4 linked regions of the Saccharomyces cerevisiae S288C genome follow. The gene in region 3 interacts genetically with the main gene of each other region. Each region holds a gene or a part of one and is shown on either strand. Other genes may lie near its edges.

Region 1 (8,752 bases), on a different chromosome or scaffold from region 3:
CAAGGTATTGGAATGAATGTATTTTGTCCAGCGTTCTTTTATCACGTAGTAAAAAAGATATTTCGATAATTCTTAAAGCGCCTCCACACATTAAAACTAGCCCAAACATATTATGGACTTTTGTGCTAATTATCAAGTGCTGGGCGTGCTCAGACATGGCCCATCCGGTGAAAATAATAATCAAACTTGGTACAAATGTTCTTCTGCCATTTCTGGAAAGGAAAATCCCGAGTATTCCACCAGTCCACCAGATAATTCCCATAAACGTGTGTTGATAATCGTGAACACTCCATCCTTCACGTCCCCACCTGTGTTCAGTAAAAGTATTTACAACGCCCCATATGCACATAACCCAACTGTCGACGTAATCCTGTGAATATGAGGTTTGGGCACTGCGAATCCATGGTATAACCAAAACCAGTACATAAATGAACCCGTACAACACAAACGCGGATCCCATGATACCATGAGCGATGCATTGCCCTGTGTGTGCCTCTCTACAAAACCCAAAGAGCGCAACAGGTGCCAAACAGACTTTAACCCAACCTGTTAGAACAGTTAGAAAGGATAAACCACGATGGATATATGACAACCTTTTCTCACCTGCATTTGATATGAACGTTTGCAACCTCTTGCTTTTCACTAAGAAACCAGTTCCTCCAGCTAATCCACCAAAGAATAAGGTTATCCAAGTAAGTCCCACCAAAAACCATGCGGTTCCCCTTGAAGTTCTATTTTCTACCCCATCATTGTCTTGAAATCTTAATACGGCAGCTTCTAAGAAAGCGTAAACGGCACAAGTGCATTGTAAGAGGGTAGCTGAATATATCCTGCCAGCGAACGAAAGGCACGTCACCACGGATGGTAAAAGCAACAAGAATCCCAAAGTGCAGAGCCAGTGGAAAGATTTCGACCCAGCCTGCACAATTTCTGGCCTCGTGTATCCCGAAGTATCATCCATGCCCATATCATGCTCCATATCACCGCAGACTTTTTCAAAGAAAAAGCATATTAGTAGAATTGCGCTAATGGATCTGGAAAATCCGAAGACAATATTCTTATTAGCTGCTGTCATTCCTTCTAGGCAGGTAAGGTTTATTCGACCTATTTTTTGTTTTGTCTGCCGTTTTAAAGTTATTCAGCTGTGGTCTTAAATATGCATTAATTGGACCCTCCCCTTTTATGTGCTTGATATATCGGTTCGGAGTTTTCATTTTATTCGCGGGTGCAAACAATGCAAAGTACATCATAGGGATTTCAAACGGAAGGAATAGGATATTAATGTTTGTTTATATATCATATACACATATACGTATACGTATGAGAGAGTATTATAATCTATAAGAAAAAAATGCTATTTTGTAATTTGAAGCTTTCTGTACATATCGAATCACGATCGTCCGGAAGATGGAGGAACATCAGGCTGTAATTCTTGTAATTTATTGGAAGCAGATTCTGCGTTGGCGTCATTTGGGAACTTTTGCTTTATAGGGTCACTAAATGGATTTTCGTTTGTTAGTACACTATCAATTGTATGTTCAGCATCACCGTTTTCTGATGAAGACAAACTTGCAAGATGGTCTTCATCGGACAAATCAAAATCGAAGTCCTCAACCTCTTCGGGCTCAGTAATTCCGGAAGTTCCATTGTCCAAAGTAGAATCGTACTCAGAGTCTGTATCAATGATATCGAATTCATACGTTTCCGCTCTTGACCTTCTGATCCTTCTCCTTGATTTCATAAAAAACATGAAGTATAACACCAAAAATGTGGCGCCAATCAAAAATATTGTTAAAAAATAATGCATGGCTTGCCTAGGAGAGGAAAGTTTTTTAGGAGTGTTTGGATCAGAATCAGGATCGGTACTCGCAGTAGTCGTTTGGGGAATGGCCGACGTTTCCACACCAATTGAGATAGAAGATGTAGAAGTAGCGCTGATGGAAATAGAAGTTGAACTGGCAGAATATTGTGATACGGTACTTTCTGTAGCAGCTGGTTCAACCTCCTCTTTATCGTTTCCAAAGACGAAAGTTTCTGTTTTAGATGAATCAATGGATTCCCCAAAGAGCTTCAGCCTCCAACTGTGGAAGTCAATCCTGTGTCCATTTTCTGTTGTCTTAACCTTGATTTTCCAATCACCTACGCCGTTCTCACCCCAATGTGCTACAGACATGAATGTCCAGTCTTTGAATCCCTCTGATGAAACATCTCTTGGTCTTACAACGCCAAGGTTTGAAATTATCCCCGCTGGTGATATTAAATCGACAGTCGTAGTTCCCCTAATTTCTGTATCAATATCTACAGTTACCGTGACGTGCTCAATTCTCTTGAAGTTAGCATCTTGAAGACTTTTTTCTGATATGGTTATGACGGATTCTAATGTCTCTTCCGTGGAGTTTGTGGACTGGGAAACATACAATGTTGGCAGGTAAAACCAGGTTTGTGCGTTAACATTCTCCCAGGTCTTGGACATTTCAATTAACTTATGGGCATCGATTTTACCAAAGCCATAGCGATGAGAGTATTTCTTCCCCATGGCGCTATCTCTCCAATCTCCGTCAGCGTTCTTTTCTAACCCTACCGCAGACAAGATTGATAAATACTGTACGTCTCTCCAAGTTAGGTTTGGGTTGGCTTCTAGTAACAAAGTGTAAACACCGGCAGCTAATGGAGCAGCCGCAGACGTTCCACCGTGGCTATTACTGCATCTGCCGTTGATATCACTCGAATGAATATATTCGCCTGAACCTGAAGAATACGTGACTGCCATGACGGCGGAACAACCTTCGGAATAAGGAGGATGTAGATCTTTGTGATCAATAGCCCCAATAGTAATAGAATATATGGAATTAGTATAGCCGTCGTAATTGCAATTATCACCACGAGTTCCACCATTTCCACTGGCAAAAACGTAAATCGCTCCTTTGGAATCTCTTCCCTCAGTAACACCTTTTACTAAAGCCTTTTTCACCAGGTCACTAGGGCCTTGTAAATGTCTTCCGTCATCAGCGGGACCCCATGAGCATGAATATATATCGTTTACGTCTAGACCATAAATCAAGGACGCAGCTTCATCTTCCGTAGTGATATCACCGGATAAGATTCTTATGCCTGAGATTTTAGCGTTGTAACCTACCCCGACACCGCAAAAATTGTTACCTTTTTTGGCAGCTATTTCACCTGCACATCTCGTACCATGGTAGTCATCAGATAATCTTGGTTTAGGTAAATTGGTATTGTCGTTGAAATCCCAAGAACCTTCAGCGCAAAAATTATCCTTCAAGTCTTCATTTTCGTAGTCAAGGCCATCATCAACAATGGCAGCCACGACCCCTGCGCCTGTAATATTATTGTACCACAGATCAAGAACATTTATATCACTGCCAGGAAAACTTGGATTGACCAAGTGCCACTGCCTCTCAAAAAGCGGATCATTTATGCTGAGTTTATCCTCAGCTTCTTTTACCGGTAACAAGCTTGAGTCCATTGGTGGAGCAGGCACCGGTAGTCTCTTAAATAGGTCGTTACGCGGGAATAAATCATGGACAGATAATATGTGGTCGTTGTTATCCCCCTGTAACTCTTCTAATGATGATCTTTTGCCCAATTTTAGCAACTCTTTTGAAAAAACATAATGGTTTGGTAGCCCTCGAACATCATGTTCATATTTCCAATTTGGATGCATTTCCTCCAAGCGGGATAATGTTTCATTGCTTTCTACAGCAAAATACTGTCGTGACGTATGGTCCTTCAATGGAATTTGTTGTGATGATACAAGAGCGGATGTTGAAAAGGCCCACCAAAAGCATAAAGTAATATATTTCCTCACTTTCATCTGATAATGGGTTAGTAGTTTATAATTATGTGACGAGGCCAAAAAACAACGGGATTAGTTTATCCTTAGTATGGTAGCCGAATGAATGAAATATGTGGAATAGATTTCTCTTTTACAAAACGGGATGTTTAAGCCAGGAAAAAGAACAGGCTTATGACAGAATTATGCATATGAAACGAGAGAAAGAACACGTCCAGCAAATATGGAGTACCTTGTTTGCCTTTAGAAAATGTTTCGGTTTCAATACTGTTCTCTTCAGCGATGCTGTTGAAGTATCAGCTCAGTTATTTAATATGCTAACCTTTCCTTTGTTTGTTTTCTTTTTCTATCTTTATTTTTTTTCCATTTACCGTTTTTTGCGTTTCAGAAAATGACCCTCATTGATTATATGAATAATAATATACACGTTATCATTTTTTATTTCTTTTATGTATGTATAGTAAAAATAAAACATGTCGAGATACGTGTATCTACATCAGAGCTGCTGAAACTATTTATTTGGCCAAAGCACCCATTGGGTCCCAGATGGGCAAGACAATCGGCTCTTCCTTACCTGAGGTGAATTTTGAAGCCAGCTCTTTTGGCAATTCATTGATATCGACCACAATTTGAAAGCAGTACTCCTCGAAGTACTTTTGAGTCATCACGTATAATCCGTCTTTACCGGAGTCTTTACCCCAGGAATTTTCAACGCGGTAGCGAAGTGGTAATTTAGACGTTTCATCGACGTGGCAGCCAGTGATCAACATAGCATGAGTCATCAAACTTTCATGGTATCTAATACGCGATGCCTTTTGCTGAGGTAAATTATAGCCGATGGCAGGATAGTTCCACAATTCAATATCCATGACACCAGTTTTCTTGTCCATGAACTTTGGAGTGTGAGATCCAAAAAAGACAGCTTTGTTATTTTGTAATCTCTTAACAACCAATTTAGATAGTGTTTCATTGTCAACATTTAAGTAAATCACGGCATCTCCGCCAAGGACGTTTCCTAAACGATCGATCTTAATTAATTTACCATATGGGTGTCTTGGATCATTGATCAATGAGACTGGCGTGGAAGGGTCCAATTTTGCGTATTTGGAGGCAAATTCTAACGGAGTCGATTTGATAGTGTGGATTTTCTTGTCTTTGTCAACGTATTCCCAAGTGAATTGCTCGTTTGGTTGCACTGGAGGTATGTCCATGAACAACGACATCAACCTGAAGATTTCTCTTTGCATTTGCTCTCTCAGAGTGACAATTATGGAATCATCGGCAGAACGCTCTTTCAAAGCTGTTCTTAGAGTCTCGGCAAATTCTCTCAGTTTAGTAGTCAACAGAGAATTCCATTTTCTGGACGCAGTAGTAGAATAAGGTAGATCCCCGTATAAATCTTTGGGGATAAGGCCATACTTCTTGACTAGGTTCAAAAACATGCTGTATTGGCCACCGTCTTCTGTTGGAGCTGCTAACAAGTATTGCACGAGACGTGAGTCGATGTCTTGATCAGCCGAGGAGACGATTTGGTCCAAGAAATAGTTGGCCTTTTCCAACTTATCGTAAAAGAACAAGTAAGCTTGGGACAGTTCGAATTCTTTTAAGTTCAATTCAGAAAGAACATTCAAGCGCAGTTGATTGGTAGCGGCAAACAACCAACATCTACCAGAGCTTTTTTGGTTGGTGACTGGAGTGGAATCAGTAGAGACAACAGTGTTGAAAACCCTGTTATCTTGCTTTTGCAGTCTAGTCTTGTTCAACAGTGCATCATCGGCATTATAATTCTTAAGGACAGTGGTTGCCAATTGATGGGTTAAGTCGGATTGAAACTCTTTGTTCCAAGAGTTGATCTTACTGATATCGATGGAAGAGGACATTCTTTTTAAAACAATTTGTGGTGCTCGTAAAAGGTGGCTTCTAAACGTCTTGAGATACAAGGACCGGGAAACAGAAGTAGGAAGCATGTAACAAAAGAGCAAGGGCTATTTATCGTTTATTTATGGGTGCCCGTCGGCGACTTGTCAGCCGGCGTTATCAATTGATTACCACATGCAACCCCATTGATTAAGAGAGCAGGTGACTTTCTGGTGGGAGGGGAAAAAAGGATGTGTCACTCACTACCCGGCGATTGCATGCTATTTGACACATACTAAAGCAAAATAACATATGTAGCATAATCAATAAAGCGACTATTTTCTAAATTTCAAAAAGCACTGAATATACGATGCCTCTTCACAGGATTAAGAGACAAAATTTGCCTGTTTGTAAAGCATATTGCCTGCCTTTCCGCTAGTTTTTTCTTTTCCACTTCCTATTTTCTTTTTTTACCAGTTTTCCCTGCTCATCGCATGAAGAAAAAAATGATAAAAGCGTTTTATGGTGATGACTAAGAAACTTGTCTTGTCAGCTGGAAAGATAAGAGAGGGAGCTTCCTTTTCCTGAGTGACAAGATAAGTGTACAAGAAAGCATGAGTGCTCTACTGTCCGAGTCTGACCTAAACGATTTTATCAGTCCCGCCCTTGCGTGCGTCAAACCTACCCAGGTGAGCGGGGGCAAGAAGGATAACGTTAACATGAACGGAGAATACGAGGTGAGCACGGAACCAGACCAACTGGAGAAGGTCTCTATTACCCTATCAGACTGCCTCGCGTGTTCTGGTTGTATAACGTCTAGTGAAGAAATCTTGTTGAGTAGCCAAAGTCACTCGGTTTTCCTGAAAAACTGGGGGAAGCTTTCGCAGCAGCAAGACAAATTCCTCGTTGTGAGTGTCTCGCCACAATGCAGACTATCTCTTGCGCAGTACTACGGCTTAACATTGGAGGCGGCCGATTTGTGTTTGATGAATTTTTTCCAAAAGCATTTCCAGTGCAAGTATATGGTTGGAACGGAGATGGGCAGAATCATATCGATTAGCAAAACCGTAGAGAAGATCATTGCGCATAAGAAACAAAAAGAAAATACCGGTGCGGACCGCAAGCCTCTATTATCTGCTGTGTGTCCGGGATTTCTTATATACACGGAAAAGACCAAACCGCAGTTGGTGCCTATGCTGCTCAATGTCAAGTCGCCTCAGCAAATTACGGGCTCGTTGATCAGAGCTACGTTCGAGAGTCTCGCTATCGCGCGTGAGTCCTTTTACCATCTGTCGCTGATGCCATGTTTTGACAAGAAACTAGAAGCGTCAAGGCCAGAATCGCTTGACGATGGGATTGACTGTGTCATTACGCCACGTGAAATAGTGACAATGTTACAAGAGTTGAATTTAGACTTCAAGTCGTTTCTTACTGAGGACACAAGTTTATATGGGCGGCTATCACCGCCGGGATGGGACCCGCGAGTCCACTGGGCGTCGAATCTGGGAGGCACTTGTGGTGGCTATGCCTACCAGTACGTAACGGCTGTCCAACGACTACACCCAGGAAGTCAGATGATAGTTCTGGAGGGTAGAAACAGCGACATTGTCGAGTACCGATTGCTGCACGATGATCGCATAATAGCCGCCGCCAGCGAGCTTTCCGGGTTTAGAAACATCCAAAATCTGGTGCGTAAACTGACCTCGGGCTCCGGGTCAGAGCGCAAGAGGAACATCACCGCTCTGCGGAAGAGACGAACAGGTCCAAAGGCGAACTCACGCGAGATGGCGGCCGCCACGGCCGCCACGGCCGATCCCTACCACTCGGACTACATCGAGGTAAACGCGTGTCCGGGTGCATGCATGAACGGTGGTGGCCTACTCAATGGCGAGCAAAACAGTCTCAAGCGGAAGCAGTTGGTTCAGACACTGAATAAGCGTCACGGAGAGGAGCTAGCAATGGTAGATCCTCTAACCCTGGGACCCAAGCTAGAAGAGGCGGCAGCCCGCCCGCTTTCGCTAGAGTACGTCTTCGCGCCCGTCAAGCAGGCCGTCGAAAAGGATCTCGTCTCTGTTGGGAGCACCTGGTAAGTAAGGTGTAGTTTTGCACCCGTGTACATAAGCGTGAAATCACCACAAACTGTGTGTATCAAGTACATAGTGACATTTAAATAATAGCAAGAACAACAATAATAGTAGCGCTACTGGAAGCACCACGTAATAGTGGAAAAGAACTGGAAAAACCGCTATAAGATGCATACTCCGGCGGTCTTACGCGGAGATACAAGCTTCCAACGGTGCTAAAAGCCCGGTTTCGGCTCGGCCGGAGGAGGAAGAGAGACGAAAAAAAAAAAAATGACTAAAAAAAAAATGGAATATTATTAATGTGGGATTTTTGGCTCAAGGTGTGGTGGCCCCTTTTCTAAGGGTGGCGAATTCTTCAATGTACGGAAAACTCGCCAAGGCTATCCCATATATAAGCAAACTGTGGGTTCATCTATATACCGACACATAACACCTAAAGTGGCTTCCTCCTGCCCCTCTCTCCCTTTTCTCCACTCACCCCTCCTTCTCCCCCTTCCCCCTCTCCAATTGGCTGTATAGACAGAAAGAGTAAATCCAATAGAATAGAAAACCACATAAGGCAAGATGAGTGAAGGCCCCGTCAAATTCGAAAAAAATACCGTCATATCTGTCTTTGGTGCGTCAGGTGATCTGGCAAAGAAGAAGACTTTTCCCGCCTTATTTGGGCTTTTCAGAGAAGGTTACCTTGATCCATCTACCAAGATCTTCGGTTATGCCCGGTCCAAATTGTCCATGGAGGAGGACCTGAAGTCCCGTGTCCTACCCCACTTGAAAAAACCTCACGGTGAAGCCGATGACTCTAAGGTCGAACAGTTCTTCAAGATGGTCAGCTACATTTCGGGAAATTACGACACAGATGAAGGCTTCGACGAATTAAGAACGCAGATCGAGAAATTCGAGAAAAGTGCCAACGTCGATGTCCCACACCGTCTCTTCTATCTGGCCTTGCCGCCAAGCGTTTTTTTGACGGTGGCCAAGCAGATCAAGAGTCGTGTGT
Region 2 (6,952 bases), on a different chromosome or scaffold from region 3:
ATAACAAACCTAATCACCCAGTTACAGAAACAGGAGGATTCAGCTCAAACCTATCGAACGTTGTGAATAATGTTGGAACCATTCTAATAACAACAGACAGTCAAGGTCTAATCCGTGTTTTCAGAACTGATATCTTACCGGAAATACGAAAAAAAATAATAGAAAAGTTCCATGAATACAATTTATTCCACCTCGAAGCTGCTGGTAAAATCAACAACCACAACAATGACAGCATATTGGAAAATAGAATGGATGAAAGAAGTTCCACAGAGGATAATGAGTTTAGCACAACCCCACCATCTAACACGCACAATAGTAGGCCAAGCCACGATTTTTGTGAGCTGCATCCTAATAATAGCCCGGTGATTTCCGGCATGCCATCAAGAGCTAGTGCTATTTTCAAGAATTCGATCTTTAATAAATCCAATGGAAGTTTTATATCCCTAAAGTCAAGAAGTGAAAGTACGAGCTCCACGGTGTTTGGACCGCATGATATTCCGAGAGTTTCTACCACTTATCCGAAGTTGAAATGTGACGTCTGCAATGGATCTAATTTTGAATGTGCTTCCAAAAACCCCATTGCTGGCGGTGATAGCGGTTTCACGTGTGCTGATTGTGGTACAATCCTCAATAATTTCAGATAGAGAATCAGAAAGTAAGAGGAAAAACTATCTGTTCCACCGTCTTTAGATCATAAGCATGTCTGCAAATAACATAGTATTATTATTTATATCTGTAGCGATCTTTATTATTTTTCATTACTGACACATTTTCTCACAGAACCATCTACAACCCGAAAGATGCCGGAAACGGTCTTAGGCCGATGGGGTCTATTAGGGCCTACAGAGACGTCAATTGGGCTATAAGAAAAATGAAATCGAGGAAAGATTTTCCACTCTCAAATTAAGTAGGGCAAAAATATGCTTTTGTTCGCATGTGGTGTTATTCCAGTTGCGAGTCAGGGTCTGCCGATATGCTAAAGGAGGTCACGAAAACGAATCTGGCATTTAATACCTCATTAAGTTACAGCGGAATCGGCCTTCTGTTGCGGAAAAAAAAAAAAAAAAGAAAACGAACATTAAGCACCGCTGAAATTTCAAGCTGTGACTAAGTCGTCAAATGATAAATACTGCATATATATAAACTATGTGATTATATGCAACATTAAGATATACTTTCTTCTTCCATAATGCCCCCACTCCAGAACTCCATCCGAAATAGTTTTCCTTAGATTGCTATAGCAAGTCAGACACAAGCACATCTCATCGAATTATATCGTAAGCAAATATGTCATCTGACAACTCTAAACAAGATAAACAAATTGAAAAAACAGCCGCCCAGAAGATATCGAAGTTTGGTTCGTTTGTGGCTGGTGGGCTAGCAGCATGTATAGCTGTTACAGTTACTAATCCGATCGAATTGATTAAAATCAGAATGCAGCTTCAAGGTGAAATGTCAGCATCAGCTGCAAAAGTTTATAAAAATCCAATCCAAGGTATGGCGGTAATTTTCAAAAACGAAGGTATAAAAGGTCTGCAAAAAGGGTTAAATGCTGCTTATATCTATCAAATTGGGCTAAATGGTTCCAGATTAGGGTTTTATGAGCCAATCAGATCATCATTAAATCAGCTTTTCTTCCCAGATCAAGAGCCACATAAGGTACAGAGCGTCGGAGTTAACGTCTTTTCTGGTGCCGCATCTGGTATAATTGGTGCAGTCATTGGCTCTCCATTATTCTTGGTGAAAACAAGACTTCAATCATATTCCGAGTTTATAAAAATTGGTGAACAAACGCACTACACCGGTGTTTGGAACGGGTTAGTAACCATTTTTAAAACCGAAGGTGTTAAGGGTCTATTCAGAGGTATTGATGCGGCAATTTTAAGGACAGGTGCTGGTTCCTCTGTTCAACTACCTATCTACAACACAGCAAAGAACATTTTGGTCAAAAATGATCTGATGAAAGATGGCCCAGCATTACATTTAACTGCTAGTACTATCTCTGGGTTAGGTGTTGCCGTCGTTATGAACCCATGGGATGTCATTTTGACAAGAATCTATAATCAAAAAGGTGACTTGTACAAGGGACCTATAGATTGTTTGGTCAAAACTGTTAGAATCGAAGGTGTAACCGCTTTGTATAAGGGTTTTGCAGCTCAAGTGTTCAGAATCGCACCTCATACAATCATGTGTTTGACCTTCATGGAACAGACAATGAAACTAGTTTATTCGATAGAGTCGAGAGTTTTAGGCCATAATTAATTCCCATAACAAACTCCGAGGTTTGAAGTTTCATTCATTGGCCAGGACAGTTCTACTTTACTAATGGTTTCATTACAACCTTTTTCTTCATATTATGTAGCATTAAGGATAATAGAGCATTTTTTATTTCACATTCATACACGATAGTTTTATAAACGTAATTATAAACATACAGAACATTATTCACAATTGTCCAGTTCCAAGAATTATATGCTCTCGGATCTCGGAGTTCTTATTTATAAAATGATCAGTTACAGTGTAATCTTGCTTAGAACTTTCTTTTTCTCAACCTTTGTTTTTTCTTTTACTTTTGCTTCTTCGAGTTTTTTCAGATAGCTGTTATACACAACCACATCTGCTACTAAGACCAATATTCCAAAGAACAAGCACAACAAAAGACGAACATGGACCGGAAAGTTTGTTGAAGATCCGGTCCAGTACCAAATGGCCACAACAACCGATATGACACTTACAAGAACGTTGAAAACAGTGGTAACTTGTTCCTTAATCTGTTTATTAATTTGTGAAGGCGTGAGTTCATCGTCTTCTTGAAGTGAAAAGACAGACTTGCTTCTCTTGACCATACTTTGATATTCAAGTTCTTGTTCCTGATATTTCAAAAACTCTAATTTTTTCTTGAAATCCTCTGAATAGTGTAAACCTCTGACGGCCTTGGGCTTGAATTCGAACTCCAAAGGTTTCAAAAGTTCTTTGATAGAGCATTGGAGATCACTGTCTTTTCTATACTCTTTCACATAAAAAAGAAGTGACTGCATAGGTATTGCGTGTCGCTTCAGGAACAAATCAATGTCCTCATCAATTCCTTCGTTTGATTTCGCGCTATTCTTGAACTTTCGCAGAAATTCAGTTATTCTATCATTCAGTTTAATTTCGAACATTAGAGTTCTTTTATGTGATGCCAATCGTCAATTATCCTATCTTACCTTTTCTTCATTTCTTTCAGCGTTTTCATGTGAGATTTGCTTTATTTTCGCTTCCTCGTTTCTCATTTTAAATATTCACACGTCCGTCATGTCTACTTTGAGTCAGTTAAATACACAAGATTTTTGTAAAACTGAGTATTTCGTGAACAATATAATTGTTCGGATTCAATCATAGTTAAAGACTATAGTATGAGATACACAGAATATCCTAAAAGTTCCCCTCGAGGGTATAGGAAACCTCAAAATGGAATCGGTCTTTCTACATGATAATATTACTCTAACTTCTTTTCTTCTATACTTTGCCATTCATTACCCTATCACGTTATCAATCCTTGCATTTCAGCTTCCATTAAGACCGATAACTGTTTCCCAATCTCTATGTCATCATCTTACACCGCTGTGATAATATTCTAGGAAGACGAATACTAGCCAATAGATGATACAAGGATTTCATTTCGACAGAAACAAAAAAAGCATGGAAAAACGAATGGAGACAAAGAGGAAGTTAAAGAAAGTTCATTTGTGACCTCATTTACTCAGAAGAATTTCGTAAATCGGTTGTTATAGAACTGTTTTATTGTTTAAAAGAGCTTGTTATAGTAATCTAAGTGGAAATACACTAACAGTAAATAGGGCGTGTGGCGTAGTCGGTAGCGCGCTCCCTTAGCATGGGAGAGGTCTCCGGTTCGATTCCGGACTCGTCCAATCTTTTTATACTTATTAATAATTTTTTTCCTGCCGTTACTTGCTTTTAAAATAACTGCCTTTTATGAATACAGAGTATAATTTTTGATATACAAAGAGGTTGACTGTGATAATCAATACTTAATTTGTGGTTATTGGTACACATATACCTACAAAAGTTACCAACAAACTGTTCGACTTTTAATGCTACCCGCCTTCCGAGTGTTTTTGAAGGGGCGGAGAGGAGCGGCAAGAATTAGCATGGAAAAAAGCATAAAAAGACGAAATGGGTGGCAATGTATTAACTTGTTCGAGAAACCTAGTGGACTCAATTCATTACAACAACAAGTTCCCAAGATCATCGATTCATAATAGTCATGTCCGATAAAGTTATTAACCCTCAAGTTGCATGGGCTCAAAGGTCTAGTACTACTGATCCAGAAAGAAATTATGTCTTAATAACTGTGTCAATTGCAGACTGTGATGCCCCTGAGTTAACCATTAAGCCATCATACATCGAATTAAAGGCTCAATCAAAGCCTCATGTTGGCGATGAAAATGTCCATCATTATCAATTACACATTGATCTATACAAGGAAATTATACCTGAAAAAACAATGCATAAGGTTGCTAATGGCCAGCACTACTTTTTGAAATTGTATAAAAAGGATTTAGAATCTGAATACTGGCCACGTTTGACAAAGGAAAAGGTGAAGTACCCTTACATCAAAACTGATTTCGATAAATGGGTTGATGAAGATGAACAAGACGAAGTTGAAGCTGAAGGTAATGATGCCGCTCAAGGAATGGATTTCAGCCAAATGATGGGAGGTGCTGGAGGTGCTGGAGGTGCTGGAGGCATGGACTTCAGCCAAATGATGGGAGGTGCTGGTGGCGCTGGTTCTCCAGATATGGCTCAATTGCAGCAATTATTGGCTCAAAGCGGTGGTAATTTGGACATGGGAGATTTCAAAGAAAACGATGAAGAAGATGAAGAAGAGGAAATAGAGCCGGAAGTGAAAGCTTAAAAGGAGGAGCAAATCAACCTGGAGTGCTAGAATGAGTAACTTAGAATAAAAGACGAATATATGCACTTTACACAACTCTTTACCTGTTTGTTATTGGCTGCCTCTATGTAATTAAATATTATGGAATTAATAAAAATATTTTTATTCGTAACTATCTTAGATATATATTGTACATTGTCAAAAAGACAGTAGTAAGCAGATAGAAGCTATATTGGATGCAAAATAGAGAAAAAAGCAGAAATATTATGTTGCAAATGTCAAGTAATGGAACTGTATGTGATATTTAAAGAACAATTTCTATATGCTGGATGATTATCAGGTGTAAGCAATAAGAAAGAAAACGAAAGTAACTCCCATCCGTGGGAAATTTCAAGAAAAACTTAGAGTATCAGCGATCGTTTTAACGAAGGGGGATTCGTAAATTTCATTAATCGACCAACGTTGGTTCTTCCTCGTTAGCGTATTTTCCACAATCTGTTTTCCCACATTAGTTTTATAATCGCTTAACCGGTACCATCTCCAATCAAACCTGGCAATACGATGTGACGTAGCTCTGCTACGCTGTCTTGCTGAAGCGTTTGGAGGAGGGTCAAATGGTAATCTGTCCTCAAACAAGCTGTATAGTATGACACCTAAGGCCCACGTGTCGCTTAAATGGCCATCGTAGGGAACTCCCATCAGGATTTCTGGTGAGACATAATCCTCTGATCCACATCTTGCTGTACACATCTCATTGTTCTCAATTTTTTTGCAGAGACCAAAATCTGCTAGCTCAATGAAATTTTGCTTGCAGTAAATGGGTGAGTCCCTAAAACTGTTGATATCATCAAAACTATATTTCAGTAGTATATTCTCTAATTTTAGGTCCCGATGAATAATACTGTTTTCGTGCAAATATTTTACTGCCAGTACTACTTCCGTAAAAATCCTTTGAATCAGCCACGCTTCTAGTCTTCCGTTACGGGCCATGACGGCAGCTAATAAGTCTCCTGCAGGACAATAAGACATAATCATATCACAAGGCGGCAGAGCTCTTGGAGTTTTTATAATCAAATCGCATAAAGGTTTTTTGCTAGTAACAAAAATTGGATTGTTTATCCCAAGTAGTTTAACTATACATGGGTGATTTAGTGATTTTAGCACCTGCAATTCCCTAGTCAGAGAATTTTCCAAACGGGATAAAGTTTCCTTATATCGTAACGATGTATTGATTTGTTCAACATTTGATAATTCCTCGGGATATTTGAGTCGTTTAACGGCCACTTGTTTCAGTTTAGGATTGCTTTGGTCCATGAGTTCATATAAAAGTACGGTACTAAAATTTCCTGAACCAATGGGCCTGACCTTTTTCCATAATAACGGGCGATCCCAGTGATCTAAAAGAAATCCCTGAAATATATCATCGTCACACTTTTCGGTAGAACTACTACTTTCGGGAAAATAAGGTTCTTTCGTGTAGTTATCACTATCAACAGAATCATTTACTAAAGCCTCTTCAGTCACTGTTGGTAAGGAAACAACCCTTTGGGGGGATAAATTAGCTGGTGCAATAAGTTCAGAAACAACTCTTTGGTTTGGTTGTGTAACAGAAAGCATATCATCCAGTAATCGTGCATGACTTCGTCTTTTGGGTATATTCAACGAGGATTGATCTATAGGTGACATTGACAGATTGCCTGGGGATAACGGAGTGTAGGTCATCGGTGTAGGTAATGCTTGGACATTTTCAAACGTCGGAATAGATACAGTCAAAGGTGTACTGCGAGAATCACCAGTGGTCCCTTCAGTGGATGCCATTTTTTTATCTTCCTCACCATTTTCATCAATCAATGCCTTTTCGTGTTGATCGCCAATGGAGTCGGGAAATCCTTCTTGTTTCAACCGAGGAGTCTTTGGTTGTGAATATATACTACTATATTCATCCATTGTCGGTATAACCTAACAGCTGCTGTGGGTATGGATGAATTCGAAGCGTAGATGTGATTACTATCTCAAAATATACTTGTCTAATTGTGTAAAAAAGAAAAAAAAGAT
Region 3 (8,698 bases):
AAATTAGTGTGTGTGCATTATATATATTAAAAATTAAGAATTAGACTAAATAAAGTGTTTCTAAAAAAATATTAAAGTTGAAATGTGCGTGTTGTGAATTGTGCTCTATTAGAATAATTATGACTTGTGTGCGTTTCATATTTTAAAATAGGAAATAACCAAGAAAGAAAAAGTACCATCCAGAGAAACCAATTATATCAAATCAAATAAAACAACCAGCTTCGGTGTGTGTGTGTGTGTGAAGCTAAGAGTTGATGCCATTTAATCTAAAAATTTTAAGGTGTGTGTGTGGATAAAATATTAGAATGACAATTCGAGATGAAATTTTAAGCAAACTCTAGTAGGAAATAAGCGGCTTATTCTTGTTGGCTCCTAATTCTTTTTAGTGTATCAGTTCCCATTGATAAAAAAATTAAAATTAAAATTAGAAAAATTAAACCAGAAAAATCAAGTTGATTAAAATGTGACAAAAATTATGATTAAATGCTACTTCAACAGGATTAGGTTTCCTTTTCGTGTTGAGTAGAGACTCTTTGCATAGCAGCCATGAAGTCTTCGACACTTCTGGTAGACTTCTTTTCCTTCATTGGCTTACCGTTCATCAATCTGTCAAAGGCTTCAGAAGTGGACATTTCGTAGTAGAAACCACCCAAAACACAGAAGATACCGATAGACCAGATCCAGACACGGACGACAGTAACAATATCAGTCCAGTTTTCAGACCACCAACCGAATAAGGTAAACATGGTAGCGATGATGTCGACAGCGAAGACGGCACCAGCCAATTGCCAGGATGGGATAGAAGACCAGAATGGACCAGCAGCTCTGGTAATGAAAATCAACCAGTTTTCAGTCAAGGAAATTTGCAAGAACATAATACCGTTCATAGCACCGAAGTTTTGGATAATACCACCCTTTGGTAAGAACATAGTAGTCAAGGTAATCCAAGAACCTATAGCTAAAACTATGCCCAAAATAATAGACATACCCCATAATCTTGGTAGGTTCCATTTAACGGGCTTTGGAGAGTAAGGAGCATTATCGTAAGCAATAGCCAAAGTAGCAACATCAGCGAAAATAGCGATGAAAACAATCAAATCAATGTCCAAAGAGTTATCCAAAATAGCAATCCATAGACCCAAGAAGATTTCCAAATGTAGAGACAAAGCAATACGGTAAACAACGTAAGAGTACATTCTGTGAAAAATTTGTCTGGAGGTCTTCAAAGCATCAATAATAGCAGATAGACCAGGAGCCAAGAAAACAATATCAGCAGCAGATCTGGCAGCATCAGTAGCACCTTCGACAGCAATACCAGTATCAGCCTTCTTCAAAGATGGAGCATCGTTAACACCATCACCAGTCATAGCAACCAAGTAACCTCTGTTTTGCAAGATTTCAACAACTCTGTATTTATGTTGTGGGAAAACTTCAGCGAAACCATCGGCATTTTCAACAAAATCAGCTAATTCAGAACCTGGCATGTCACCACCGCCACCTAGACCTAATCTTTCAGCGTTGTAAATGTTGGTACCCAAACCCAATTGTCTACAAGTTTCCTTAGCAATACCAACAGCATCACCAGTTAACATCTTAACTCTTAGACCCAAGTGTCTAGCTTCGCTAACAGTTTGAGCAGTATCGTCTCTTGGTGGATCCATACATGGCATAACACCCAAGATTTCCCAGTGACCTTCACCTCTCTTTCTAGCAACACCTAAAGCACGGAACCCTCTAGAAGCCAATTCAGCAACCTTGTTTTCGTAGTTTTCATGGACATCTTCTGGGATTGGGTGATCTTCTTCGACAGTCTTCAAGACGAATAATGGAGCACCCTTAACACAAACAATTCTTTCACCTTCTGGAGATTCGACAACGGCAGTAACCTTCTTGGAGACAGGGTCAAATGGATGGAATTCCAAAACCTTGTACTTGGTCAAAGCGTCCTTAGCCTTTGGATATTGCTTCAAAGACTTCAAGAAAGCCTTATCAATAGCATCCAAACCCTTCTTCTTTCTGGAAGCAGCCAAACAAGCAGTCAACATCAAGTCGTCTGGAGAAACACCTTCAACAGTGTATGGTTCGTGCAAGGACAACTTGTTCTTGGTCAAAGTACCGGTTTTGTCGGAACACAAGATTTCGACACCAGCCAAGGATTCAATAGCAGACAACTTTTGAACAATGGCTTGTTTCTTAGCCAAGTAAGCAGCACCGACGGCCATAGTGGTGGTAACGACAGCTGGCAAACCGACTGGGACACCAATAATAGTAATACCTAGAGTGTATCTCAAGATTCTAACAATACCGTTGGTTCTGTAGAAACAAGCAGTCCAGACCAACAACAAAGTGGCAATGACCAAAACCAATAAGATAATACCAATACCGTTCAAAACTTCAGTGAAATGACCTTGACCACCAGCGGCTTTGTTAACCAAAGCAGCAGCTCTACCAACGAAAGTGTTGTCACCGGTAGCGGTAACAACCATGAAACCTTCACCTCTCTTAACAGTGGAAGAAGAGAAAGTTTGGTCACCGTAATGTTTGTCGACAGCCAAAGATTCACCAGTAATAGCAGATTGATCGATTTGCAAGAAACAGTCTTCAGTGACAATACGACCATCAGTTGGGATAACAGTACCATCTTCCAATTGCAAAATATCACCTGGGACGACTTCGTTGGCTGGAATTTCAACCAATTGACCGTCTCTGATAACAACAGCAGTGTTAGCCAAAGTCTTTTTCAATTCATCGACAATAGAACCAGCTTGGAATTCTTGAACGAAACCAACACCAGCGTTTAACATTAACAAACCACAGATAACACCGAAATCGACCCAATCGGACAAACCGGCAGCCAAAATAGCAGCGGCTTCCATAACGAATTGAATTGGACCGACGAAAAACATAACGAACTTAACGACTAAAGATTCTTTTTCGTCAGCCATTTGATTCAAACCGTACTTCTTTCTTCTTTTCAAAACTTCATCGGAAGTTAAACCGTAAGATGGGTCAGTTTGTAAATATTCTTCTGGAACTGGTCTAGCTTCACCGGCGGCAACTGGACCATCGTTATCACTGTCTTCGTCGTCGACACCGTGATTAGATTGTAGTTCTTCGATTAAAGCATCGATATCGTCATCGTCAGAAGATTCAGATGCAGCGTCATCGTAAGTCTTAGCAGGCTTTTCTTGAGTTGGCTGATGAGCTGAAACAGAAGATGCTGAAGAGGATGATGAAGAGGATGATGTATCAGTCATATTGATATTGTTTGATAATTAAATCTTTCTTATCTTCTTATTCTTTTCAATGATTTTCTTTAACTAGCTGGGGTATATTTTTTTTCTTTCTTTTGAATGTGTGTATAAAAGAGAGAAAAAATGGTTATTTTCCAATTAATTAATTATTAACGATTGTTAAAGAAAAAATTTATCAACGAGGTTGATAGAAAAAAAAAGTTTTTGTAGATATAGAAGAAAAAAAGATTTTCACTATTGGTGTTATAGGAAAGAAAGAGAAAAAATTTAAGAGAAATTAGATGTTAGACGATAATGATAGGACATTTGAAAATAATACAATATTTGGCCTTTTTATATAATCGAAACTAATGGAGGGGAGCATAAGCGGTACCCACCATCGACCACGTTTCGTCACCGGTCATAATTGGAATAAACAAAACAAACAAACGAACTAAAGAGTGTGAGAGTAACAATTTCCACAGAGGTAAAAAAAAAAAAAAGGAAAACAGAAACAAAAAAAGCTCATAGTTCTACTATAGCTTCTTCAGACTTTCTGTGAACGAGGGAAAAAGACAACAAAAAAGCAATGGATAAACGGTCTCGAGAGATTTTTCATGATGGAAAAGGAAGGAAAAAAACCCGAAAGGCATATGGATAACATTCTGAAAATGTCTATTCCTGTCAAAAGCATGTCAGAGGTCTCGAGGCCTGGAAGTGCCGCATTAGGAAATACAGATGCAATGCGCGCGAGTTTACGAAATTCTCGCAGGAGTTTCTCCGGCCATGTGCGGCTGGTTCTACGTCTCGTGTATGGGTTTATTTCTGCGGTAATTATCGCCGGATCTCCGCTTCGAGACCGGGTTTGTTTTCAAATTACCGGAAAAGGTCAGGCAAAACAGAGTGATGTATGGGTGATCCCAGCAATGCCTGTTTATGTTTCTCCGTTTCAGGAAGCTTGTTTTGTTTTTTCCCCGTCAGCGATGGTGACGTAAACGACTTTTTGCACTTTAGCAAAGCTGAGTTAATCTCGGAAAATCTCTGTGTCCTTCCTTTTTCTTCTAGCTTCCGTTCCGAGTCTCATCTTCTTTCCCGTGCCGTCGGGTTTAGTAAAGAAATGTAAAGAAAAAATGTCGTATCGTACCCGAGAAATATTTCAATTCTCTTACGTATGCGATAGCAGTTGGAAAGATCTGATTCGTTACGATGACTTGATAAGCGCGGGCTTTTTCGCCCTATACGGCTTGGGCCTGACTAAAATGTGATTCTGTGTTTTACGTATATGCGCGTATATAGAGCAATTGATTGACTTATTACGCAGTTTATCAAGATAAATTCTTTGTTCTTGCTTACGGGAGTGTGGTAAGCATGTATACGCCCGTTTAAAAACCCGATGGAGGCTTTTTCCCCAATTCTCGTACTCCATTGGGCATATGATTTCTTTCTTTTTCCCTTTTTTTTTTTTTCTATTTCCCTAAACTAACAGAACAAGCTTCAAAACAAATGACGGAGAGAAAAACAGTTTTGATTTACCAAATGCGGCAAACTTATTGAGGCTAGACACAGCTCTACCGGATTCGTCCGAGCACTTTTTTGTTTTCTTTTCTATATTTACTACAAACATAACAAAGTTTTGTGCGTCTTCCCTAAAGCAGCTAGGATGAAAATCCTATGCTCTCATCTCGCTGGTTGCCATCTCATCGCATCCAATGCTGTCTGTAATCATTTTATTGGACTTTTCTTTGTTTGCTAATCCCCCTTTTCTTTTTCCCGTTCTTTTCTTGTCCTTGTTTTTCATTTTAACTATATTTCTGAAATTAAGGAAAAATAAGGCAAAAAGTGGGTGGATGCATCTGCGACTTCTCTAGTTTTGCGCCTACTTGGGCGCGCTAATAATAAGGGTTTAGCTTCTTAAAATAAAAATGTCAGTAACAGTTGTACGATAAGGTCTTTACTTTTTTTCTCTCGAGAAATGTCTTTTTCTAATTAATCTCTCTTTTCTGTTGTTGGTTACTGCCTTCCATAGTCCAAGACCATTCGTTATATGGTGCAGTGTAGGATCGAGGAGAATCGGCTCACGGTGCTTATATTATTGCCCGGCTTCAAGTATATTTACATCAGTCTCCATAGTTGTTTTATCTTATTCTTGGCATTGATCTGCTTATTAAACTATTTATCGGTTCTCTCTTCTGGTACAGAACTTAACATGATCTTGTTTTCACTATTGTGCCATAAGCTGAAAAGGCTAAAATAAAATTAAGATAGTAAAGTTCACTCTTAAACTAATCAAGCATGAATAATACAAAATAAATATTTGAGCCAAAGGGGATGATTTAATTATCAAGTTTTTCTTTTCATACTTCGGTTTACAAGCATTGTTTACGGCTCTTCTTTTCTTAGTTCTTGGCAGTTTGTGTTTTCTTGATGAGAATAAGAAAAGTATCGATCTTACGGCAAAACATAAATAAAACACAACTTTATCTTTTTTTGTCGCAGTAGTGTGGTCCTACAGCTCCAAGCCTGCCGCTTTTAAAATAGTGAGCTGTGCATACTGATATATGTTCTATTTTACCCATTTGAGGGGCCTAAATTGTCTATTAATTTTTTTACTTTAATACAGTTTGTATAGAAACATGTGGCACTAACAGCTTTATCCGCCCGCAGAAAAGATAAAAAAAAAGGGTTTTTACCCGGCAAAGAAGCTTCTCCATCATTTGTCAGGGGGAAAAGAAAATTAGGAGGCTCAGGCCCTAGAAGCGCCCTCCACGCTTTTTAAACAAATGCTAATCTTCATAATTCATTATCATCGCCACTTGGCATTGCATTTAATGGGCGCCTTCCAAAAACATTCAAATAGTATCAGCCCCCCCCCAAGGAAAGGCTTTATTTGAATTGCGTTAAATATTCGATTTCTTTCTAGCAATTATTACCAAAATAAATTGCAGGCTTAACGAAAAATTAAATAATCTCTTCAGATTTTTTCACTTCCCCAAACTACATTTTAGTCAGGTTGGCACGATTCAATTGAGAAGGCTTAGGTTAAGAATAAACATTTTTTCATAAATTTGAGGAAGAAGGGGCTTTTCTGGTAATTTTCATTCAATAGAAAGGCTTAAGAAAACGTCAAAAAACTCATGCGCCTCCAGTAAAAACTAAGTGTATTAAGAGAATTGTATCACATATATACGACATTGAATTAAAGAAATAAAACTTGAACAAATAAAGTTTAGAAAAGTGGTTCTAAAAAAAAAAAAACTGTGTGCGTAACAAAAAAAATAATGTCTAGACAAGACGAAAATTCTGCTTTACTAGCGAATAATGAAAATAACAAACCATCGTATACGGGAAATGAGAACGGAGTCTACGATAATTTCAAATTATCAAAAAGTCAACTTTCGGATCTTCATAACCCTAAATCAATAAGATCATTTGTCAGATTATTTGGATATGAGTCTAACAGCCTCTTCAAATACTTGAAAACAGATAAAAATGCAGGCATTTCTCTTCCAGAAATATCAAATTATCGAAAGACAAACCGGTATAAAAATTATGGCGATAATTCACTTCCTGAAAGAATACCAAAGTCTTTTTTACAATTAGTATGGGCTGCTTTTAATGACAAAACAATGCAATTACTGACAGTCGCCGCTGTTGTTTCCTTTGTTTTAGGTCTATACGAACTATGGATGCAACCTCCACAGTATGATCCTGAAGGAAATAAAATTAAGCAAGTTGACTGGATTGAAGGGGTTGCTATCATGATTGCGGTCTTTGTGGTAGTTCTAGTGAGTGCCGCTAACGATTACCAGAAGGAGTTGCAATTTGCAAAGCTAAATAAAAAGAAGGAAAACCGTAAAATTATAGTCATAAGAAATGATCAGGAAATATTAATTTCCATTCACCACGTTTTAGTCGGTGATGTCATTTCATTACAAACCGGTGATGTTGTCCCCGCTGATTGTGTTATGATATCAGGGAAGTGTGAGGCAGATGAATCATCCATCACTGGTGAATCTAACACAATACAGAAATTTCCGGTGGATAACTCATTAAGAGATTTCAAAAAATTTAATTCTATCGATAGTCATAACCATAGCAAACCATTAGATATAGGTGACGTTAACGAAGACGGTAACAAGATTGCTGATTGTATGTTGATTTCAGGTTCCAGAATTCTCTCTGGCTTGGGCAGGGGTGTCATCACGTCCGTGGGTATAAACTCAGTTTACGGTCAAACCATGACTTCATTAAATGCCGAACCTGAAAGTACTCCATTACAGTTACATTTGAGCCAATTGGCTGATAATATATCCGTTTACGGTTGCGTGTCTGCTATAATTCTTTTCTTGGTCCTTTTCACTAGGTACTTATTTTACATAATACCTGAGGATGGCAGGTTCCATGATCTAGATCCCGCTCAAAAGGGTTCTAAATTTATGAACATTTTTATCACATCTATCACGGTTATTGTGGTGGCTGTTCCGGAAGGTTTACCATTAGCTGTAACTTTGGCCTTAGCGTTTGCAACAACAAGAATGACAAAAGACGGTAATTTAGTACGGGTTTTAAGAAGCTGTGAAACGATGGGATCTGCTACTGCAGTGTGCTCTGATAAGACTGGCACTTTGACAGAAAATGTCATGACTGTCGTTCGTGGCTTCCCGGGCAATTCTAAATTTGATGATAGTAAATCGTTGCCCGTTAGCGAACAAAGGAAGCTGAATTCTAAGAAAGTTTTTGAAGAAAATTGTTCGTCATCCTTGAGAAATGATTTATTAGCCAATATTGTCCTGAATTCTACCGCCTTCGAAAACAGAGATTATAAGAAAAACGATAAAAATACAAATGGTAGTAAAAATATGTCAAAAAATTTGAGTTTTTTAGATAAGTGTAAATCTAGATTATCGTTTTTTAAAAAAGGCAACAGGGAAGATGACGAGGATCAATTATTCAAAAATGTCAACAAGGGTAGGCAAGAACCCTTTATTGGCTCTAAAACGGAAACAGCCTTACTCAGTTTGGCAAGATTATCATTAGGATTACAACCGGGAGAATTGCAATATTTGAGAGATCAACCGATGGAAAAGTTTAATATCGAAAAAGTTGTTCAAACAATTCCGTTTGAAAGTTCTCGTAAATGGGCCGGCTTAGTGGTAAAGTACAAAGAAGGCAAAAATAAAAAACCATTTTACAGGTTTTTCATTAAAGGTGCAGCAGAAATTGTTTCCAAGAATTGTTCGTACAAGAGGAATTCAGATGATACTTTGGAAGAAATCAATGAGGACAATAAAAAAGAAACTGATGATGAAATCAAAAATCTTGCGTCCGATGCTCTCAGAGCCATAAGTGTTGCCCACAAAGATTTCTGCGAATGTGATAGCTGGCCCCCTGAACAGCTGCGTGATAAAGACTCACCAAATATAGCTGCTCTTGACTTGCTATTTAACAGTCAAAAGGGCTTAATT
Region 4 (6,859 bases), on a different chromosome or scaffold from region 3:
ATCAACTTTTTTCTCCACGTCTACCGACTGTCATGAAATTAGTCGACCTTCGTTCTGCGCCTTTGAAATGAAAAATTTCAACGTAATTAAAAAAAGATAATAGATGAAAAAAAGGTAGTATTCACGTGTGGCTTCAAGAAGACACCAAAGGCAGTGGTCTAAGTTTGTGTTGGTAGAATGGCTGGCAAAGCAGGGAGGAAACAGGCTAGTTCAAATGCAAAAATAATTCAGGGCTTATACAAGCAAGTCTCTTTGTTTTTAGGAATGGCTATCGTACGTCTATTCATTTCACGTAAGGTTACAATTGGCCAATGGATTAAGCTGGTGGCTTTGAACGTTCCTATGTTCGTTGCTCTGTATATCATTGTGCTATCCGGTAAGCCCAAATATGATGGCAATCGCGTAGTAAAACAAGGTATAGACTTGAACGACAATACAAATTTGATATCATATTTTTTTGATTTGATATATCTATCACTTTTTGGTAACATTGGTATTATAGCTTTCAGGACATTCAAATTTTGGTGGTGTCTACTATTGTGCCCCATCTATGCTGGTTACAAGTTATATGGCCTCAAAAACATGTTCATGCCTGGCGCTCAACAAACTCAGGCAGATAATCGCTCAAAAAATGCTAATGAGGGACAATCCAAATCCAAAAGGCAGATGAAAAGGGAGAGGAGGGGTGAAACTGACTCTAAAATTAAGTACAAGTATCGTTAAACAAAGCTTTTCAAACGTTTTTGAAATTTTTTGCTTTCTATAGAGGAGTGTGAGTATATACAAAATAATATTTAGATATACTTAAAATGAGCATGCTACACAGGTATCTTCCAAAACACTGTCATAACGAAATTCTTATAGCCGTTCCATAAACGGGAACAATATGGGGGCAAAGTACGGCTGACATATGCATCCAACCTAAGGACATATTGTTTAAATATCTGCCTCATAGATTCACTTTGTAGGTACCTTAATTTGAAAAACCATACATAGGTTAGTCCTGCCAACATTGTACCCACTACCTCAAACGACACGTTTGCTCTTCTTACCAACAACAAGAAAAAATTGAAGGGCACTAAGAAGAGGCCCACACGTAGGCCGCAGATAATCTCAAATACTTGCGCCATCTGTAAGAAAAATCCATTGTAGTTTTGGATGAATACCGTTATTTTGGAGTTCAACAAATTTTTCAAATTAAGTGGTATCAAAGGCAAAAATGGCAAAAGGTTTTCCTTAAAATAGTTCAGGAAGTGAAAGATTGAAAAGATAACGGGACTGTATAACGAGCCGCTGATTATGATGTTAAACTGTGATAAGAGAAAAAGTATGAATAGCATGGCAAAATACTGCAAATTATCCAATTTCTTCATCTCTTGGCGCAAAAGCGTAAAATTGAACTTTAACTGGTCACTTTTGAAAAACTGGTAAAGAACGATGGCATATGTAACGGATATGTAAAATAATGATCTTCTATAGCATGACAATTGGTTTTGTTTGGACGTGATTGAAAGATGAAATTGTATAAAGTTAAAGATGGTTAAAAAATGGCCTATAAACCAATAAAACTGGGGTTGTTTTATTCTTGATTTGATAATGGTGCCAAATGGTGCCATGGGACGATTCCTGGGAACGGTCATATTGTTTTGTGCTAATTTTTTTTTACAATTATTCGAAATGAGTCTTGTTTGATCGTGGCCCCTTCTTTATTTCTGATTCCAAATCGAATTTTCAACTCTCTTATTAATATTTTTTCGGTGTGGATGAGAAGAAAAAAAATTTTTCTAAACTCTTCGAGAAAAGAACAATGAAAAGAGAACAGTAAAACGTCATAAAGCCTGTTAGTTCTTGACATAAAGACGGTAAAAGAATCGCATGTTTTCCAATGGAATCGAGTAGTCGAGTTTTGGGTCCATTCTATACCAAATACTGTCGTTCTCGGATACTAGTGACCATGGACCTGTCGTTCCCTTGTCCTTTCTATTGCCTACTAAGATAGTATCGATAAGAAATTGGATTGGGAACTTCTTGTTGTTGATGGTAATGTGAGAATAGCTTCCTGCACTCTCTAGTATGAGAAGATGGCAGCCTGGGGCACAGTTCTCGTTTAACCGTTGCAGAAATTTTATACTCTCCACTTTTTTCTGTGTAAATAGTTCATTTGTAGTAAAAAGTAGAGTTATTAGGTCGAGGCCTTGATATATCTTGATATCTTGTGGCTCTGTCATTTGTAGGCAGTCCTTGTGGGTAAAGTTGACGTTAAATGACTCTGCTTCTGAATCACCATATAGCCATTTCGACTTTATTGTAGCTGTTAGCTTTTCAACAACTGTGGACCAGTCGGCGATATCTACTAGTTGTATGTTTAAATTTCTAGGCTTTTTGTTTACTTCGTTGTCTATTTTCAAAGCAGAGGCAAATTTAGACGAAAAATCTCTCGATAAAGTGAATATGCTCGCTAATGCAACCAGCTCACCACCAGCGCCGCCACCTATGCAGAGCACATTTGAGTCCTTGTCATCAATTTCGCATCTGATAATCTTTAGAAGCTCAGGGAAATGTGCAAATACTGATGCGTAACTTGTTGCTCTGGACGGTGACCAACGACAACAATATGCTATTCTTTTCGAGTCGTTATTGAAAGCAGCATTGTAATCTCTGTTATAAAGGTCAGATTTTACCGCCTGTATTTGTTCAGTTAACGGTGACTTTTCATTGTCTTGATCTTTTGGATATAGCTCTTCTAAGAATGTTATTTTAAAAAGATCGATTATTTCCTGTGGTGGAAGCGTTGATTTATTGTGAACGGGCAATTGGGCCACTTTTTTAGGATTCATGTTAATTGGAAACTGAGAAGAGTAATGATATTGTGAATAAATTGGTATATATTTAAAATATACTGAAGAAGTTAAAAAGGCAAAGCGTCTCATAAGCAACATCAAAAACGTGCAAAAAGAGACCCTGCGATGAGATGTACTCTAATTCAGAAAGAGAAAAAAAAAAAAAAAAAAAAAAAAAATAAAAATGCACTAAGGGCCCAATGGATTTCTTTTTTTGATATTGAATCATTCATTAAACATATTTATTAGGTTTAGAAGATTTTAATTATACAAAACTTATGCTCTATTTAAAATAATATTAATGAATTTATTCTTCGTCTTCTTCTTCGTCTTCTTCTGGAGTGACTTGGTAGAAGGCCAATCTGTATTCGTTGGTCTTGGTAGAGACAAATCTGATCCAGTCTCTCAATTGGTTCTTCTTCAAGTACTTCTTTGTCAAGTACTTCAAGTACTTACCAGAGAACTTGGCAGTGGAAACAACAGTAACAACGGTACCATCTTCAGTGACAGTGACAGCGTTACCCAAGTTACCGACAGCACCTTCGACCTTGATGTGGTCGATCAAGTACTTAGCGTAGGAAGCTGGGTCGAAGACACCGTTTTCAGTTGGAGAAGAGACATCGACGGTAAAGGTCTTGGCAATCTTTTGCTTTCTGGAAGTCTATATCAAAAAAATTAAAGATTGAAAATTAGTAAAAATTTTCAGAACAGTAATGTTAGTAAAAAACGAATATTTCACGATTTTCTTTCAATCCCGAAACCACAAAGTTGCCTACTGCTATTAACAATCACATATGACAATCTCAAACAAAAAAACATTCAGAAACGGATAAAAAGAAGGGAGTCGATATAGAGTTCAATGTTCAAGTAGTGAATTTTTAAAATACAGAAAAGCAACTAAACACATAGACGCTTCTTCGTTTCGTACATTTTTATTTTTTTTTTTTTGGTTTTACTATCTTCCTTGTTATTCGCGTACAATCAATCATTACAATAACAGTAAAACATAGACTTCGTAATCGGGCGTGGATTCCTTTTAAAGTATCATACGTTTGGGGCCATTGTTTCTTAATCTGTTGTTTTGGTGGTTTATAATTTGATAACGGTAAAGTACAGGTAAAGTTGTTAATCTCAATTAATAATGTACATATTGTATGCAGCTAAATGATAGTTTGAAACATTTTAGGAAATTCTCGGTAAGATTTGTTCGCGTGGCCTGTTGAGGATTTTTTCAAAAGAGAAGCGCACTGAGGTGGAAAGGAAAAACAAATTAACATAAATGTATGGATGTATTATTAAATGTACTGATGTTTATCAAAAAAACTGTCTTTGAAAGTTAAGTACAAGCTAAACATTTACTCAGTAGCGGTAGTAATATTATATAAAACATGGTAAACTTTAGTTGTGTTTCTATATATAGATATATATATGTGTCTATCTATCTATATAAGTTTTATAAATCAGTAAAAATTTTTGTTAGAACATTACATTATAGGAAGACTTCGGCATTAACCTCTACAAAGGATGCAGCGAATGGAACGTCGAAATTCATCATGACTTCAGGATGCAAGACACCCAAGTGGCCGATTTGCTTTGGCTCAGCGCCTTCTTTGGATCTGAACATGACCTTGGCACCTCTACCTGGGAAGTAGGTTTTCACAGAATCGTCTTCTTCAATCCAGTAACCTCTGCCAGAAGCAGCAGCACCGTAGTCTGCAATCCACTCTGTTCTAAAAGTTTGCATGATTTTACCCAATAACCCTTGAATGATTTCAAACCCAGAATTCTTACCCACGTAGATGGCAGCCCAGTGACGTTCATTGTACGCCTTCCTTTCTAGTTTGTCGTCTTTAAATACAACGTCACCGGTTTCAAAGACTTTGATTGGCAAGGAATGTTTTCTGTTTTCCTTGACTGTCTTTAAGATACCAGGCAATAAAGTGGTTCTAACAACTTGGTATTCCAAAGTCTTTGGGTTGGCCAATTTGACAGCTAAATCACCATTGTCGGATTGTCTTAGAAATTTAAAGTTTTCATCGTGCGAACATAAGGTCAATGGTAAAACCTCAACCCACGTGGCTTGAGAGGATGCAACTCTGAAAATATCAGAAACCTTGTTGATTGGTAATGGTTTGGCAATGAAGTTGGCATTGGATAATTTCTCACCCTTTGGCAAATTATTGAAACCATAACCGACAGCGGCATCTTCCATTATATCACAAGCGTGCAAAATATCAGGTCTAGTTACCGGAATGTCAACGTGCAAGATGTCCTTGTCTTCCTTTGATTGAACGGCATGCAACGACATCTTCTTTAGACAATGAGCAATTTCATCAGCGGATTGATCTAGGCCAAGACAGGAGTTGATGTACTTAATGGAGACATCCATAATTCTATCGTTGAAGTTTGGCGCCAAACGGGATTGGCCATTGTGTTCAGAGACAATTTCTACAGGCTCAACCGTGAATGGTTCGTCACAATAACGTGAGAACATTGTAGTTAATATGTTCAAAACGATCTCGGCTTTGGTCTTATCGGTGGCGGTTATATCAATCAAAATGTTACGGGTGTTCACAGAGATCTTCGAATGTTCACTATTGATTAATGGTGGCAGGGAGCAAACACGATCTTTGCTGTCCATAATAACTGGGAAGACTGGAGAATCCTCAATAATGTGAACGTATCTCCCTATGTTGTTTTTCTGTTCTGGAGATTTATAAAACTCGATCAATTTGTCACCAGTAAACTCTTGGGTTTGATTCAATGGTACGAACTTGATGTCCTTTGGTGGTAGAGCTCTGTAATGGAATGGACCTTCAATTGAATCTAAATCGTGAGTACCCATGGCAACCAAGCTTCTGTTTCTACATAGATTGGCATGTAATTTATCTTGCAAGGCAATAAAAGAAGCGTAAGATTTTTCGTTAAGCTTGATATTTCTCAATACAGCAGCGGTAGCAAAAGGTCTAATTTGCTCCGTTGATTTGTCGATGATCAACTTAGTGGTTGGCTTGCTTAATTTATAGTCAGGTCTTTCTTTACGTTCCAAGTATTCGTTCAGCGACTGTGAAATACCTTCGATACAAAGCAAATCGTAACGATTGGCACTGATATCAAGCTTCAATTCCGGCTCCTCCCCGGTTTTCAAGGCCTCCTCTGTGGTGTCTTCGTCCATTTCCATACCGAATTCAAAACATAATTCATCGAACTCTTGGGAAGTGTAGTTTTTGCCTAGAAGATCAAATAATTGCTGCTTGTTCACGGAGACGGTAGGCATGCTGGCTCGGTGTTATTGATGTGTGTTATGCTATTCTGCCCTATTTTTTGAACATTTGATCAACTCCAGGCTTTCGAGAAATACATTGAAAATTTTTCATTTCCTTCAATTTTCTTTCTTTTTTGGTACCGATTCTGAATAATCGGTCACCTCGTGTGTCGTGATAAATAATCAAGAAGATGTACTTTTATACAAGGGTTGTAGTCATCTGGGACACTCTCAGAGCACTGGCTCTGACGACAACCATCAAACGCATGCTCATACGTATAATTCAAGCCTTACATACACTGGTATTCCCTTTGGGGTGTTTCTTTTTCCTGTCAAGTTGGGCACTTAAAAGAACTAATAAAAAATCAGTGTGAACTTTTCGATTTGCAAAGAAAATGAAAAAAAAGAAAAGGAGCTTTCACAAATAAACAGAAGAGATCAAGATGAAGTGGTTGTTGTTTCCGGCAAGAATCGTAGCTCGCACTCGCCCAAACCTCTTCTCGCTGTACAGAAGATCCGTTTCACAGTACTTACGTCCTCGAACCATCCAAAACCTGCAATCAATGGCGCAAACACCCGAACTTAAAACCAAGCTGTTCAAACCCTTGGTCTGGATCGACTGCGAGATGACCGGTTTAGACCACGTGAATGACAGAATTATCGAGATTTGCTGCATCATCACCGATGGACACCTGGCACCCGTCAAAGCGGCCGATGGCCAAGGAGACTCGCATTATGAGAGCGTCATCCATTA

What was found.
Region 1: mutations in PMA1 (region 3) and KEX2 together harm fitness more than expected from each alone (negative genetic interaction), as found in Saccharomyces cerevisiae (3 studies listed by BioGRID).
Region 2: mutations in PMA1 (region 3) and VPH2 together harm fitness more than expected from each alone (negative genetic interaction), as found in Saccharomyces cerevisiae (2 studies listed by BioGRID).
Region 4: mutations in PMA1 (region 3) and PER33 together harm fitness more than expected from each alone (negative genetic interaction), as found in Saccharomyces cerevisiae (2 studies listed by BioGRID).

Annotation. Positions count from the first base shown.
Region 1 is NC_001146.8:197,511-206,262, reverse strand, and holds KEX2 (kexin KEX2), read right to left. Parts: upstream 3,836-8,752; coding exon 1,391-3,835; downstream 1-1,390. Other genes in the region: YTP1 (Ytp1p), read right to left, coding at 1-1,075; LAP3 (bleomycin hydrolase), read right to left, coding at 4,330-5,694; iron-sulfur cluster assembly protein NAR1, read left to right, coding at 6,286-7,761; ZWF1 (glucose-6-phosphate dehydrogenase), read left to right, coding at 8,320-8,752.
Region 2 is NC_001143.9:216,057-223,008, forward strand, and holds VPH2 (Vph2p), read right to left. Parts: upstream 3,162-6,952; coding exon 2,514-3,161; downstream 1-2,513. Other genes in the region: DGR2 (Dgr2p), read left to right, coding at 1-644; OAC1 (Oac1p), read left to right, coding at 1,288-2,262; Hsp90 cochaperone SBA1, read left to right, coding at 4,268-4,918; serine/threonine protein kinase PRR1, read right to left, coding at 5,288-6,844. UniProt on the Saccharomyces cerevisiae protein: Required for vacuolar ATPase assembly.
Region 3 is NC_001139.9:479,410-488,107, forward strand, and holds PMA1 (H(+)-exporting P2-type ATPase PMA1), read right to left. Parts: upstream 3,258-8,698; coding exon 501-3,257; downstream 1-500. Other genes in the region: YGL007C-A (uncharacterized protein), read right to left, coding at 3,532-3,618; BRP1 (Brp1p), read left to right, coding at 3,851-4,228; YGL006W-A (uncharacterized protein), read left to right, coding at 6,014-6,124; calcium-transporting ATPase PMC1, read left to right, coding at 6,512-8,698. UniProt on the Saccharomyces cerevisiae protein: The plasma membrane ATPase of plants and fungi is a hydrogen ion pump. The proton gradient it generates drives the active transport of nutrients by H(+)-symport. The resulting external acidification and/or internal alkinization may mediate growth responses.
Region 4 is NC_001144.5:260,237-267,095, reverse strand, and holds PER33 (Per33p), read right to left. Parts: upstream 1,641-6,859; coding exon 819-1,640; downstream 1-818. Other genes in the region: SND2 (Snd2p), read left to right, coding at 178-723; BMT6 (25S rRNA (uracil2843-N3)-methyltransferase), read right to left, coding at 1,842-2,939; 60S ribosomal protein eL22 RPL22A, read right to left, coding at 3,148-3,501, 3,891-3,902; FRS1 (phenylalanine--tRNA ligase subunit beta), read right to left, coding at 4,330-6,117; REX2 (Rex2p), read left to right, coding at 6,549-6,859.